2 linked regions of the Arabidopsis thaliana genome follow. The protein of the gene in region 2 purifies or fractionates together with the protein of the main gene of each other region. This does not show direct contact. Each region holds a gene or a part of one and is shown on either strand. Other genes may lie near its edges.

What was found. Proteins that work in one complex are often made in the same cells at the same time.
Region 1: the proteins of AT2G01710 (region 2) and AT4G31880 fractionate together in Arabidopsis thaliana (co-fractionation; one large-scale study listed by BioGRID). This does not show direct contact.

What each region holds. Positions count from the first base shown.
Region 1 is NC_003075.7:15,417,759-15,429,870, forward strand, and holds AT4G31880 (transcriptional regulator), read right to left. Parts: upstream 6,554-12,112; 5' UTR 6,182-6,553; coding exon 6,080-6,181; intron 5,797-6,079; coding exon 5,593-5,796; intron 5,508-5,592; coding exon 5,326-5,507; intron 4,994-5,325; coding exon 4,867-4,993; intron 4,792-4,866; coding exon 4,600-4,791; intron 4,484-4,599; coding exon 4,445-4,483; intron 4,337-4,444; coding exon 3,491-4,336; intron 3,400-3,490; coding exon 3,286-3,399; intron 3,100-3,285; coding exon 3,041-3,099; intron 2,865-3,040; coding exon 2,813-2,864; intron 2,656-2,812; coding exon 2,572-2,655; intron 2,495-2,571; coding exon 2,445-2,494; intron 2,341-2,444; coding exon 2,278-2,340; intron 2,185-2,277; coding exon 1,677-2,184; 3' UTR 1,189-1,676; downstream 1-1,188. Other genes in the region: AT4G31890 (ARM repeat superfamily protein), read right to left, coding at 9,532-10,432, 10,636-11,291. UniProt on the Arabidopsis thaliana protein: Cohesin cofactor dispensable during the meiotic division but playing an important role in DNA repair by homologous recombination (HR) probably by helping SMC5/SMC6 complex.
Region 2 is NC_003071.7:313,570-317,247, forward strand, and holds AT2G01710 (Chaperone DnaJ-domain superfamily protein), read left to right. Parts: upstream 1-2,078; 5' UTR 2,079-2,134; coding exon 2,135-3,202; 3' UTR 3,203-3,424; downstream 3,425-3,678. Other genes in the region: AT2G01720 (Ribophorin I), read right to left, coding at 3,624-3,678.

The DNA.
Region 1 (12,112 bases), on a different chromosome or scaffold from region 2:
TAAGTAGAAGTGGCATGTACTATCTCTATCTATCTATCCTAATAGTTAATTTATGACAAATATGACTCTAAAAATCTAGAAAACAGTTTTGACGGTCGCTTATTTAATTTAATTTTAAAACAACATTTTGATAATTAGACAACCATGAACATTTTATAGTTGACAAGCACATTCGAAATATAAATTTTTGAAGTAAATATTACAAGATATTATGATCGCTTTTTTTATATGTTTTAAAAATTAAACTATATTGCATGTCAAATTTAGATTATGATTATAATATCTATCAAAACATCAAATGTCTGGTTATCTTCATAACCGAAAAAACGAAGCAGATCATCTATATTAAAAAAAAAAAAAAAGATAGTTGCTCGGAGTCTAGTAGTCTACCTTAATACAAATCAAAAGAGTTCTTAAAATATATTTATGTTGGATAAAACCAGTTCACAGAACGCAAAAAATCATTTTTCTAATTAGGTTTTTAATAAACGAATCGTGTGTTTACATTTTACCCATATTTCATCTGGGCCTATGAAAAGTGAGAAATGAGAGAGAGTATGGGATCATGGACCACATGTTATCCCATTCACCAATGTATTACATCTATTTTTTTATACGCATAACAATAATGTTTCTTTTCCGTTTGTTAATGTCTCTAGATCTTGTTTTAATTAAACATCTCTTACTATTAGTTTGTTACTTTTTCTTTTCCTGAAAAAATGAAAGAAATAATGTATAACTTGCAACTTTATGCGCAAAAAAATACTATAAAACCCCATCTAAGACCTCAGATCTACTGGCCTAAGGTCCTTCATTGCAAGGCTTGTTGATAAATTAAAAGTTTTAAATCCTACGTATGGCTAATGTAAATGGAATATTCCTTAAATATGGGAAGCAAACATTGGGTATCCTTTTAGGAATCTCCGAGCATTTCGTAAACCACACATATATTCGTAAGAAAAGTCTTTGTTTCATCTAGAAACAAATCATAGTATTAAATTACAAAGATAAGATAGGAAAATCTCTGAGTATACAAGACTACACAACTCCCAGTCACAACGAGTTTCACTTTGCCCCATATTTTAAAGTTTTTGGTACAGTAACATTTTCAAAAAATAGCAATTTTTTTGAAGTTACTAGAGAACCTGCCGATTTACCCAGTACTGGTGGATATACATACACATTAGAAAGCATTCAAACTATTTTCTTGTCTAATGTTCCCAAACCAGGGTTACGAATAGCAGCACAAATCCATAACTCAACATAAACACTCGAGTCAAATTCAAATGATGATTTAGGAAGATAACAGGCTAATAATCGTCGGAATGTGTTTCCCTTTTCTTTTTTTTTCTGCCCAAATTTTCTCTGCAACACTCCAAAGAGAGGGAGAGATAGATGACAGAAAAACGTGGGTCAAAAAATAAAATGAAATGAAAATAACCAAAGCAACCTCCTTATGTATCCACCTTAACACAAACTACATCTGAAATCAAAACCTAAGTAAATAAAAAAGCATCACTACTAGACGTTTGTCTTTAAAACAATTCTACACTTCTACTGCTCAAGACGATGTTCAATTTCACGGCCACCATTACCCACCACACGCTTATCGCTTTCCACCTTAAATTACATAAACCATCATAATTCAAAAGAGAAAAGAGCACAAGCCCAGACACTCATCGCTTCCTCTTCTTACCGGACTTTGATTGACTCCCCTGTGACTTGCCTGATTTCGCTTTAGTTGCTGGTTCTGGCTCCTTGGGTGTCTCTTCAGATTCTGACTCGGAAGCGCTCTCTTTGGCCTTCGAAGCAGGTGTAGACGCAGAACCAGATTTTGCTTTACCCTTTCCTGTCTTGCTTTTGGCAGGTACAGATTTCACAGGTCCCGACTTGGATTTTGAAGAAGTTGTTGCCTTGGAGGGCTCTTCCTTTTTCTTGGATGAAGCTTTAGATTTCCCAGATTTCGATACGCTGCTTATATCTTTCTTCGACCTGCTGCTTCCTGATTTACCAACGGTTTTGGGGGGTTCCTCTTCCTCGCTCTCCTCCTCAGAGCTCGCCTCCTCTTCTCTGCTAGCTTCCTTTGAATCCTTCGATTTGCTCGCTGTTTTGTCATCCTGGGACGTCTTGCTGGACTTGGAAGCAGGAGTAGCTTTAGCCTTGCTTGATCCAGCTCCACTACCCCTGAATACATCAGAAGTACAATATTACGTATTAGTAGAGAATTATTTTAGAGACTTCAACACTTGTTAACTATTTGCTTTCAGTTTCAATTACTTTTTAGCTGATGAGTTGTCCATCTTTGATTGCTTGCCTGTCTTAGCTTTCTTCGTCAGGGGCCTGCATGACAAAATGCTAAGCTTGGTCATCACAAGTAAAAAGATGACATCTAGCTATTCCTTCCAGTGCCACATAAACAACGGAACTAAAGAAGTAACACGTACACTGTAGAGGCATCTTCCTCTTGACCCGTCTGATCAGCAGCTTCTTCATCCTGATGACAGAAAGTGTAAGTTACAAAATAGGCGAAGAGCAAAAAAAGCCAGAGATGGATGAAATATAATGCCCCACCTGTGACAATTCTGATTCATCCAGAGGACTCCACTTCTGATTCTTGAGATACAAGATTTCTTGATCTCCATCATCATAGATAACCTGCAAACGAACATGGCAACAGCATACAACAATTAAAATACCATAAAAAGGCCTGAAACAAAGATGTATAGCTTAGGAGAACATTCAAAAGGCTACTGGTTGACCACAAACAAATCAGGCGAACCAAAATAGGGGAGACGGATAAAATTGGGCTTACCAGATGTTTCTTCTTTGCAGCATCATATGACTCGACCACACCTTTATAGTACCTGCGGTAAAAAACAGATTACTCATTTGAAAGCATAGAAAACAAAAAATTACAATAACAGGTAGTCCAGATTCTGCTGTCTAAAGGAACAAACATAGAAGTCCAGAACAGAGAAAATGCAAATTGCCTTCTTGTAAATCAAATATAATTCCTAAGAAGAAAATACAAAATGCTTACGCTTGATCCATAGGCCACCAGACTTTGATCCTCGATCCAACTAAACTTTCACCAGATGCCTGCCCAAGAATTGATTCGGTATGAAAAAGTATACAAAAAGAAAAACTCGTACAGAGCAAAGGAAACCAGTACAATTAAAGGATAATCGTTTCAGAGAATATTTCTTCAACTTGAAGAGAATAAGAAGCTGCTCCCATGCACAATTACTACTGCAAATGGCAATTGGTGAAGTGAAGAAAACATACCTTCCCTTGGCCTAAACTTCGTTTTCTCTTTGTGTTTGAATTAGGACTTTCTTCTACCGTTTGCTTCGCTTCTTTCTTTGATTTTGAGGCTAGCTTTCCGGAGGAAACAGCTGGCTGAAAATAAAATTAAACCATATCGGTAAGAGGACAAGGACAGGGAAGTCAGATATGTATTCGAATCAATTCAGGTCAGGGAACTACTCACTTTTTCATTATCACCAGATGAAGTGTGTAATGACTCCTCATCAATGGCTTTCCCACGTCCTGGTTTTTTCTTTTCCTCTTTTGGCTTTGTGGATTCTTGTGCATTATCACTCCCAACTACCTTTTTCTCTGACTGCTTGGCTACTTTTGTCTCAGAGGTGCTTTTCTTTGAAGGAGGAACAGTAGGCTTTGTTTTACTTGACGAAGCAACCTTCTTTCCAGACTTTTTTGTCACCTGAGGTTCAGACGTGTTTGGTTCTTCAGAAACTTCTTCGGTAGCAATAGAAGCAGAAGGTTTGACCTCCTCTGTCGAGCTCTCCTTTTTCTTCTGGTTTGCAGTCTTCTTAGGGACGCTTTGCTCAGGAAGTTCCTCAGCCATTGACGGAGAACTGACATTGGCAGTTTCATCTCCTGATGTCTTAGATGGTAAAATCTGCACACTTTTATTCTTTTCATTTTCAGAAGAGGTGGCTGCGGTAACAGATGAATCAACAGGAGGCGAAGTTAACACATCCTTGCTGTCCAGGAGTTCTGCAGGTTCAGTCTCTTCTTTGATATCTGAATCTTTTGATAAATCCGCCTGTTTGACAGAACTAGATTCGTTTTCCTTTTCCTCAATTTGATGTTCAACATCAGGCTTCTCTTCAGTAGTATTATTCAAGTCAGTGTTTCTAGGATTATCAAGTTGCTGCGGCTCATCTTTGGCACCCGTATCGTCTTGCTTCTTCATGGAATCAGTATCAACCGAAGAATCATTCTGTTGCGCGACACCATTGCTAACTCCAGACTTACCAGATTCATCCTTAGGTGCATCAGTTCGCTCAGGGGTAGAAATTTCTGCTGCCTTCTGTTTATCATGTTTTAATTGGAACATAAAAATCAATTAACAATCTACAAAAGCTAAAAGAAGAAAGGCATCTATCCTTTTCATACAAATCAACAATGACTATCGTACCTCTACTTCCGTTTCCCTTTTTATATGACCTTGACTATCCTGGAGAGGAAAAATATGGAAGAACAGTATAAGAGCTAATGTAACTGAAGACCTGCATAATCACTAAAAAAGTTGAGGCAGTGCGGCAGTAAAAAAGGTGAGAAATAAAGGCTTACTTCTTTTTCATTTGCAACAACTTGGTCTTGCTGCAAAGCACTGAATGTCCCTTCACATATCGAAGCCACTATGTTACTATACTTATCTAGAGGGACACCCGACGATTTCACTGCTTCGGTCAGATAAGTTTTGAGCTTGCTAGCACAGTTACTGAGAACTTGTTCTGCCAACCTCCGTGATACTTGGGAAATCTGTTGATAAGTTAAAAGATTTAACAAAAGAGCATTGGTTGGTGATAGAAAATCAGTAGACCATCCATGTATTACCTCATCATCCTTTTTAACAGAATGTAGGATTGGTGAAAGCATCTCTGAAGGTATATCCTCGCTTTCTTCTAAAACAAGGGTCATTATGTTCTCCATAGATGAAAATACATTCCCTGAATGATGGTCCCTGAAAGGGTAAACAAGTTCAACATCAGACAAACATACTTATTGGATGTTGTACAAGCAAACATAAGCAACAAGCAATAGACTAGTTGTGAACTATATTGCGAGTACATAAAGTAAAGTAGCATAGTCCATGGATAGGTAGAACGACATGAATGAAATGATATCAAATGAGAACAACAACATCCATTAATCAAACATGACACAAGGAAATAAAGGAACAACAGGGAAATAAACAAGTAGACAATTCCATGTATGTGTATTTCCTGGACATTACATTACAAGATGAAAAAACAATGAGTTTAATTCTAGCATAATGGATATATTAGAGTGTACCTTATAGCCTTGAGGAAATGCTGGAACATCTCAATAAGAAGTGCATCACACTCAAGATCCAACATCACAACACATGACCTGACCTTAGCCACAGTTTCAAGGATAGATATCCTTTTAGCATAGGAACGACTAGATTTGTCAACCAGATCTTCAAATGATGATACAATCAACTTGAATACTTCCTGCACATGAATAGAAGAAAAGAGTCAGTAACCAACCAGCATAATGTCCACTCCCTCAAGAAAAAAATAACAAACAACTACATACCTTCATCTGGTCATCATCATAAGGAGCATCAGGAGCAGTTATTCTTGTAATCTCACTGATGCAGGCAGCGACAGCAACTTTGACATCGACATCTGAATGCTTGAAGAGTTTTCCACCGACTAATCCTTTCATCAATGGAGTGAGTGCATTCTGCATTGAGTCGGGAGGTGACTGTTCAACCTCCGCCAGGGATACGAAAAGTTTCTGCAGAAATAAAGCACAAGGATCATCAATCAAACTCACTAACTCCAAAACCACAGGGATTTTTATCCCAAACCGAGAAACAACCGTAACTAAGATCTAAAATGCAGGAATAAAAGCATTTGAGTAGATTCAGAGAGTAAAAGAGACGAAGGAAACAGAGCATTAAATCCAGAAATCGAGAGTAAACACATGCACAGACTTAGCATTGCCACGAATCCGAAGAAGAAGACCAAAATAAAAGAGAAAGAAACAAAAGGGGGTGGTGAAGGAGATGAGAGCTCACGTCAAGGAAAGAGAGAAGCTCATCGAGTGAAGAAGGCGGGTCAATAAGCTTTTCCCCAGCTTCAATAATCTGATTCTCGAGCTCTTTATCAGAATCCGACATGACTCCTTCTCCTAGTTTTCTGACTCGTTTCGCTCTTGCGTATCTACAATTGAATAGATCTCCTCTACAAACCCTAGATTCGAAAACAGAGAATTCTCAGCACCAAAAACCTAAAGCTTCCATTGAATTCCACAAATGGAAAGAGATGAGAAGACGGATTTAGCGAAGAAACTACGAGAAATTTTCCCCCCAAAGTCACTGAACAACACGCTAGGGTTTTTTTTCTTCTCTCCGCTCTCTCTTTTTTTTTTTTTTGTTCGCTCTCTCTCAATCTTAACAGTTTACAGAAAACTAAAGAAAAAAAAAAGTAAAGAAAAATAGGAGAGTCCTCAAGCGCCGTTAAAAAGATATATATATAATCTTTAAATAAAAAAATGGGATGTATTTAATATTTGGTGTACGGCAATTTATTAGTTGGTCGTCTATTTGACGAGATGTGTTTCTTCATTTATTTTTATTTCTCTTTCTCTTTTATGGAATTTTTTTATAGAAAAATGGAATACAAAAATCAAGGAAATCCAGTATTGCGATTTTTTCCCTTTATTTCGGATTTTACTTTAGATTATAAACTCAGGTTAGCTCATTATTTGCTTTCATATCCGATTTTTATATATTTTGTGAGTATTATTTGCTTTTTTATCAACCAGACTCACATGAAGCATATGAAAAATAAAATAAAAATGAGTATAAAGGATAAAATCCTGAAAAACAAATATATGTAGAAATTTGTAGTTGACATATTAAAGAAGAAAAATAAGAATTTGGTAAGATTCAATTTTAATAAGATTTTGTCACTATTAAGTTTATACGATTCTATATTAGATTGTTTTTTTGATTCTACATATGTACTATTTGGTATATTAAGATGTTGGGAATATAGACCTAGATAGAACTCTAAAAAGAAACATAGATTATTAAATTTATCGTTAACAGATCCATAAACTATAACGATTCATATTGCATTAACATGAAATCAAATATAAGATTCAACAACTAAAAACTGGATGAAAGAAAAAATATTAAGCGGTTTAAGAAAAAGAAAAAAAAAAATCATTTATTCCTAAGCATGTTGTCCCAAAACATAGAAATAAGTTTTGAATTTTGTAGGACTAACACTGTATAATATAGTCATCGTTATCGTATGTACACATATTAAAGGGCCTCCAGTTTATTATTTACCTATTGTCTCTCATGTCTATAGCTAATTAACACTTGGTTAGTAGAATTACTCAAACCTCAAGCGTGCAGCCCAATAGTTAGGCTGCTCAGAAACCCTATATGAAACACAAACGGGCTAATCTAACATTAGGCCCAAATCAGATTCCTAGCATCGTCGAGAAGCCCATAAGAGGGTTTGTATGCAAATATTAAACATTACTAAAAAATAGTGATAATTTGCTAGGTAGCACATTTTGATTGCTAAGTACTTGAAAAAAAAAAAAAAAAATTACTTTATCGCTAGCTACCTCCTCTCTCACTCGTCGCAAAGGTAGTCTTCACCCAGATAGAGAAAAAAAAAGACGTTAAAATGTTGTCATCATATTCTAATAAGACCTTATAGAAAACCCCTCTAAGCATATATTTTCTGTCAAAAAAAACATATTACTTTCTTATACCAAATTATAAACAACAATGTTGAAAATTATAGAATATTATAAGCACTGGTGGTAGTAGGTGTCGGTGTATGTGAAGAGCAAAGATGACTTTTCTTGGGGAATTTGCTTGAGTTCGCATTCCCACGGAAGAAGATAGCGACAAGTTTAAGCGGTTACAGAGACTTATACACGTTTCATATCGTACCATTCTCTAACAATGTGAATGAGATGATTTTGTAGCATGTTTACACATTAAAGTATAAGGGGGCAGGTATATTTAACCAGAAAAATTAAAGAGGATAGATACTAGAAGTATAAACAATGTGATATTCAAATTTCAAATGTATTATTAGAAAAGGAGTATAAGTAACACTACTATGCCAAAACTAATATGTAAAATCTAGATTAATCGAGCATGGCAAAACTAACTATTATAGAAATGAAACGGCAATAGATAAGATAAGTATGTTGTCGATATCCAGAGACAGCTAGTGCAGCTTTTAGTAGCCGAAGAAGAGTGTTCTCCATAACAGTAGATCATATCAAAACTTAAATAAAGTAGACTGTCTTTAATGAAAGCACTCACACTCCCACATGCCTCTCCCACCTTTCAATTATGTTGTTAATTATTTTAGACGTGTACTATTTCAAATTTGGACCATCCTTAAAATCTTGTAGGGTTTTTACAAAGTACACATCGAATATAAGCATTACTCTTTTAACAAAAGAGAAAAATATAAACTTACTCAAGTTTTTTAAGGATGAGTACTCACTCATAAGCCAAAAAAAAGGTGGAAAGATACAGTATTAATTTAACCATATAATAATAGTAAAAAAGCTGATAAAATTGGTAAAAGTAAAAGCTAACAAACTCTATAACTTTATAACAATACTTTTCACGCTAAGCCTAGTAGACCAATTTGGCTTTTTTACTTTTAACAAAACCACCAACCAAACCAAAAAAAAAGTTAACTCAAACACAACGACACATCGTACCTTGAGTACTATGCATTATATTAGATTGTGTCTGAGCACATTTGTCGCATACCTCAGAAGCTGATGAGATCTGGCGAAGCAACAACACTCTTCTTTGTTTTTATTTCCTCTTGTTAAATCAGCTCATATGTGTCTTTCTCTCTATTATTTTTGTAGAAATGCTTCATGAATCATGATGACACCTACAAGACGTGATGCTTGATTATTCTATAATGAATTTGTGTAAAATTTTCGCTACAAAACAAAACAATAACAAACAAAATGTAGTTAGATCGACAGATCCAATTTACTCCACGCCGCCACATTGTTTATTCAGGCATGTACTCTATTTTATATTCGAGAAACAACCATAAAATAATCTCTCAAAAGATTCCAAAACTCTGTTTGAAAATGTATTTTACAGAGACATAAATATAAAATTAAATACAAACAATAAAAGCAAAAGCAAGAGTGGACCAAGCCATACTTCAAAGTGAGATAATGACCGACACTTTAGTTAAGGAAGATGGGCAATATGGTAATTTCAAGATTCAGGCTATGTGGGTGGGGTCTCGAGGAAGACTAAAAAACTGGTGAAGTGCATGTGAGAGACTAACTCAATGCCCTCTAATATTACCCGAATTTACATTTTATGCCACTGTCAGTGAGTGAGAGACAGAGCATCAAATCAATAAAGCCTTGGGAAGAAAGTTAACAAACTTATCAATGTGACAATCTACTTAAATTAGCAATCTGACTAATGATTAAGACTTACATTTTTCAAAAGGGAAGGCTCTTTGAAGTGGAGCTCAAACTTAGTGACTTGAAATGCTCTGAAGGAACAAAGTCTTGTGGCAAATTAGCTCTCTTCACAATTCTCTTCATATTACTCTGTAAACTCTGTTGCACTAACTGTTTCACGGCTTTCCTCTCTTCGCTCATCATCAAATCGTTTTCCTCGTGGTCCAAACCGTTGTCTCTGGTCCCGTATATCGGTGCGGATAAGGCTCCGCATGATCCTGTACTATCCAGGACTTGCTTTCCTTTGTCTACTCTAAGACACTCTAATATCCTTGATGCTCTCTTTTGTGCCAGTGCACTTCCTAAAAGAGTTAACTCGAGCAACGCTGATTCGATTCCCGCCTCAATCATCACTTGTCTATCTCCGTATCCCTTGTGAGCCATCAACATTAGAATGTAAGTCGCCTTTTCTTGGCACCCCGGTGAGTCAGTCCAGTTCAGTACATCGACTAAAACCGGGAATGCGTCGCACACCAAACCGATTGCTTTTCTTCCTTCAGGGACTGCCACTAAATTGCTCAAGATAGCGAGAATCCTCTCACTCACTTCCATATCTCCCAATGTGTTCAAAAGATACGTGATCAAATCGGTTTCAAGGATAAACGAAACGTTTGGTTGATAGATTGAGAGGTTGTAGAGAGCTCTCAATGCGTCCTCTCTCGCTTGTGAGCTACTTGTTTCATCCAAATTCTGAAGAGTTTTCACCAGGAAGATTATAGCTCCAGAAGAACCAATAATCGGTTTGTTTGAATCTAAAGCGCTTAATCCAAGAAAATTAGCGACCACAGCTTCTGCAATCTCTTGATCAGGAGTGTTTGGAGACTCAATTAGCTTCAGCATTTTGTGAACAGCACCTGCTTTAACAATCGCTGCTTTGTTCCTGCAAAACAGAATCAAGGAAAGTCCTAAAATGGGTAAAATATTGAAATAAATGCTTCAAGTTATACACATTGTTCCATACTTCATACTCACTCTAGCAGAAAAAAAAAAAGACATGGAAAGTGACTTAACGAATGAACCCAAAACAAACACAGAAACTATTTGGCCGAAATAAAAATTCATGGCAATGAAAGTGAGACTTACGCGTCATTACCAATCCCAAGATTGAGCAGAGCATAAAGCGAAGCGATCTGAGCATCTACGATTCTCGAGTCATCGATCATACTAACTAACGGCGGAATCGCACCGAGCATCGCCAACGTCACTCTCGCCTCCGAGTCTTCCTTCGCCAACAACCGTACCTCACTCGCCGCCGTTATTTTCTTCCGACAGTCTCCTCCGTCATCGTTATCTTCACGCGCCGCCGCAGCTGATTGTAACTCTCTGACCACGCGCTTCAAAACCTCAAGAGCTTCCTCTTTCTTCATCGTCTCAACATCAGCTTCAACTTCAGCTAGATTCAACAGATCACAAAGCTTCTCCGATTTCTTCGATGTCTCCTCGAACGCTACGCCGTTCAACGCCGCGCCGATCGTATTAGCTTTCGCATCTTTCGATGATGCAACTGTTGACTTCGCCGTCACCGTCACGTAACTTCCTTCATCGTCCTCTTCCCGGAGCTCGTGACGGTAACGTGAGCTACCGCCGCAACTAACGGCGTCGACGATCTTTCTACGGAATGTGGATCTAGAGAAGGTGCTCCAGAGACGGAAATGGTAGCCGGAAGTAGAAGAAGAAGAAGTGGAAGGAGCACGGTCAAGAATGAGAGATCCGATATTATTCCGGTGACATTTAGCCATGGTTGTGATTCTCCGATCAGTTCTTTAAGCTTAACCTACTTACTACATATGCACCACCAACAAGCAAAGAGAGAGTGCGAAAGATTTATATATATCTTTTTATTTTTTTGTAAGAAAGAATTATAATTATTTGTTTGTTTATTTGGAAGCGAAAACAGAGCGAATGTTGACTGTTGATTACTTCTTTTTATAAAGAACAAAAATTTGCAGTACTTATTGATTTATCAAAGAATAAAAAAAAAACTGTGTTTGGATGCAGTCTTATAATAAATCGCGGATAAGCTATTCTATCAATTATTTTAAGTCAATTCTATATGCTTTTTTCTTCATTGATGATTTTTTAAATTGATAACGTTTATGAAAATTGTTTTTTTTTCTTTGAAGAGAAAATGTGAAAGTACAAGAGAGGGGTGAGTGAGGCCATCACTAATTTCAACCGTTCAAAATTTACAAAATGTGTGTCAGGGAAGCTTCTACAGTTCTACACAAGTCCCATCATTTTGATGATACTAAATCAGTAGATTGCTACTACTATTGGGGCTTTGTTTATGATTCTTTTTCTATAACACACAATATATTTCATTTTAAGAAAAAAGAATTTCTAGAAGAAGTTTATAGCTCTAAAAATGGTCCAACAAAACCACCGAGAAACCAAAATTTAAATCAATGTTTAGGCTCTTCTACAATTGATTTCAGTAATTTTCTAAAGAGTAAGAACCCCTTTGGATACGTTTCTGTATTATTTATTTTTCGTAAGGTTTGGTTATTTTAGGATGGCTCTACAAAAAAAATACAATAAACATCTAAAATAACTTGTATCA
Region 2 (3,678 bases):
CGAGAAACCAAAATCGCGATCGGAGAAATCGATGAGAAGAAGGAGCGGAGGATTATTTCAACGGCAAAGACGAAAACAATCAGATCTGGTCAAAAACGATGAACTCATCTGTGGCTACCATAGTTACTCGGTTTCTCCAATTCGATTTCTGCACAAACTAATTTCTGATCTTTTTTTTTTATTAATTTGTTTTTCTTTCTTAGTGGATTTGTTTTTTGGTCACAAGTGATGTCTTTAAAAAACAAGGAAAAAAAACTAATAAAGAAGACAAGTGAAAAGTGCGTGATCACTGTATCAAATGACAACTTCACCCTTAATGTTAGTAGCAGCTAACCGGGGTAATATTGGTATTTACTAGAGTGGTATTTTTTACAATTTTAGGTTACAGTATTTGGTTATATTAATTTTTCTATTTTGAAACATTAGCTAAAACATGATTATTCTTTATTTATTCACATCACATTGAAAAGTAAATAAATTGTAGTTGGAAATAATATCATTTCTTCATATCAATATGAATATTATTATCAATATTGATAATTATATTTTTATTTTTAACATTTTTATAACATCTTCAAACACATACATTATTTCAAATACCATTAGATATTATATTATTATTTTAAACATTTATTATTATTTCATATCATGCTTTTTTATAGGTGACTTAAATATGGACTTTGTTTCCAATAATATAGTTATATCAAATTTTATTTTTTAAACATTTAATATCATTTCTTATCATGCTTTCATTGCTTTTGTTTATAGTTTGAATGAACGAAAAGAAAAAACGATAATCATGTTTTATTTGTAAAGTTTGTTGTGAGTAGTATTGCAAATAAATTTAATATTTTATTCGGCCGGCAAACGTTACAAATAAAAAATAATTATTATTTCCATTTTATTTGTACTATGTACAACAAATAAATAAATTATGGTAAGAGATAATATTAAATGTTTTTATAATTTTCATGTTTTATTTGTATTATTTTGTGAGTGAATCAAAGATGAACTTTTGTTTTGGTAGGTAGTCATAGATGAACTTTATTTCTGATTTTTTTTTTTTTTTTGTCAACAGATTTTATTTAGAGCTCAAAAGAGCCAATTGTGAGGAAAATTATTTATAAAAGTGACATGAAGCGGTTCAATATGAATTTTTCGTGCCAATTTGTCCGCCTTTACATTTGCAGTTCGAGAAATTAAAGATAAAGAAAACTTTGTGAATTCCTCCTTATATCGGTCTTTAGTTCCTCCAAATAAGTTGAAAACGCTGGTCATTCGGTTGGAGAAGACACCATCTTCACCAAGTCTGAATAGTCTGTAAAAAATGCTACTTCTTGGTTGTCGGCACCAATCATACACTTCATCGACCAAAGTAGTGCTTCGACTTCTGTATGGAGTGGATAAAGACTTCTACGAAGATTAGCAGCTCCCATGGTTGGCGAGTCTCCATTTGATGATCTGCAAAACCACCCTAATCCAGAAAACTTATCGCTTCCTTTCCAAGATCCGTCCACAAAACAACGCAAACCAGAATAAATATTATCGTGTGATATATTCTGAACCCGAATTTGTTTTTTCGATCCCATGGAACCGTTATTTTTGGTATTGAGCTCAAATTGAGCTAACTGCCATAATTCTGCCTCTTTTTCTGTTAAACATAATACGTCTAACTTTATTTCCGATATTCTTAGCTCTAGAAAATTTTCATTCTTAAAACATTTAATATTATCTTGACCATATATTTTTTAGTTATGTTGTCTGAATAAGATGAATAAACAATAATTATGTCTCATTTATAAATTATAACTCTCTAGTGAGTCAAATACCGACTTTATTTCCAATATACTATAGTAATTTTTCCTTTTATTTACCTTTTTAATGTAGTGTTAATAAAACCAATAAAGTATATAATCATATTATTTTTGTAACTGGTGACACAAAGCTGGATTTTATTTGCAATATTATAAATATGGCGAAATAGGAAACGAATTGTAAGTAGGTAACATTATAAAAGGGTGAAAAATAATAACATAAAATAAAATTGTGAAAAATAATAACATAAAAATGAAGAAATGATTTTATTACTAAATAAATTTGGTAACAAATAAAGTTTTAGTTTCCGTTTACTCCAATGTTACTATTTTTTTTCCCCCGACCATTTTTACACACAGCCAATCAGAGCCTTGTTTCATCGTCTCTTGTCGAGGCGATAATATTTAGATCTGCTCACCATTTCTCCGCCATCGCCGACGGAAGAAGAAAGATGGGAGACAACAACCCTAACCGATCAGAAGCAGAACGTCTTCTCGGAATCGCGGAGAAGCTTCTCGAGTCACGAGATCTAAACGGTTCAAAAGAGTTTGCAATCTTAGCTCAAGAGACAGAGCCACTCCTCGAAGGCACCGATCAAATCCTCGCCGTCGTCGATGTCTTACTCTCATCAGCACCAGAGAATCGTATCAAAAACCAACCAAACTGGTACAAAATCCTTCAGATCGAAGATCTAACTGAATCATCAACAGACAACGATCTAATCAAGAAACAATACCGTCGTCTTGCTCTTCTTCTCCACCCTGACAAAAACCGTTTCCCTTTCGCCGATCAAGCTTTCAGATTCGTGCTTGATGCATGGGAAGTTCTATCAACACCTACGAAGAAATCTCAATTCGATGGAGATTTGAATCTCATCTTCACTAAAGTAAATCTCAACACTCAGAAATCGAAGAAGAAAACAACAACGAATGAGAAGATGTCTACGTTTTGGACGGCGTGTCCGTACTGTTACAGTCTTCATGAGTATCCTAGGGTTTATCAAGAGTATTGTATTAGATGTCAAAACTGTCAAAGAGCGTTTCACGCTGCGAGTATTCCTCAGTTGCCTCCGTTGATACCTGGTAAAGATGAGTATTATTGTTGTTGGGGTTTTTTTCCGATGGGGTTTGTTGGTGGTAAAGGAGGAGAAGCTGCCATTGCTAATGGAGTAGATGCAGCTAAGTTCCCTAATTGGATGCCTCCGGTTTTCTCATCCGGCGGCGTTGCAGCTCCTCCAAGTGGTAATGGTGTTAGTTTTGATGGATGGTCAGGTGGTGCGGCGAAGAGAGATAATGAGGCTGTGAGGAGTAATAATGGTGTTGGAGTTAATTCAGATGGAACACCGAAGAAGAGAGGAAGAGGAAGGCCGAAGAAGAATCCGGTTTAGTGATCTCTTTTCAAACTCCGGTCATGATTGTTAAAATTATGGAGACAAAATTTTAAAGGCAAGTTTTTTTTAAGGCAAGGAAGTTTAGGATCAGCGTTTGTTGTCTTAGTGTAAACTTTATTATGCATTTGTTGTTATTACCGTTGTGTAATTGTGTTATCTTGATTTACTTTGAAACATTTTCCTCATTACATAATTTGGCAATTCGCTCTTTTCCACTTCACTTGTTGGATGGATTAAACACTTTAGATTCTCTGTAAATAAAATTGAGGAAAAATCAAGATTGGAGAGCAAAGTAGTGTCAAAGATATAACTCTACTAAAAGCAGCAACACCTACAAAGTTTAGTTCTTCAAGTGATGATCAAAAGTATTTTCTTTTACGAGTCTATAAGTGAAAGCGAAGGACTGTTGATAAGACTTCTACTTCCTGACGATATTGAGATCGATGTGTACATACGCAAGCGAAGCCACAAAT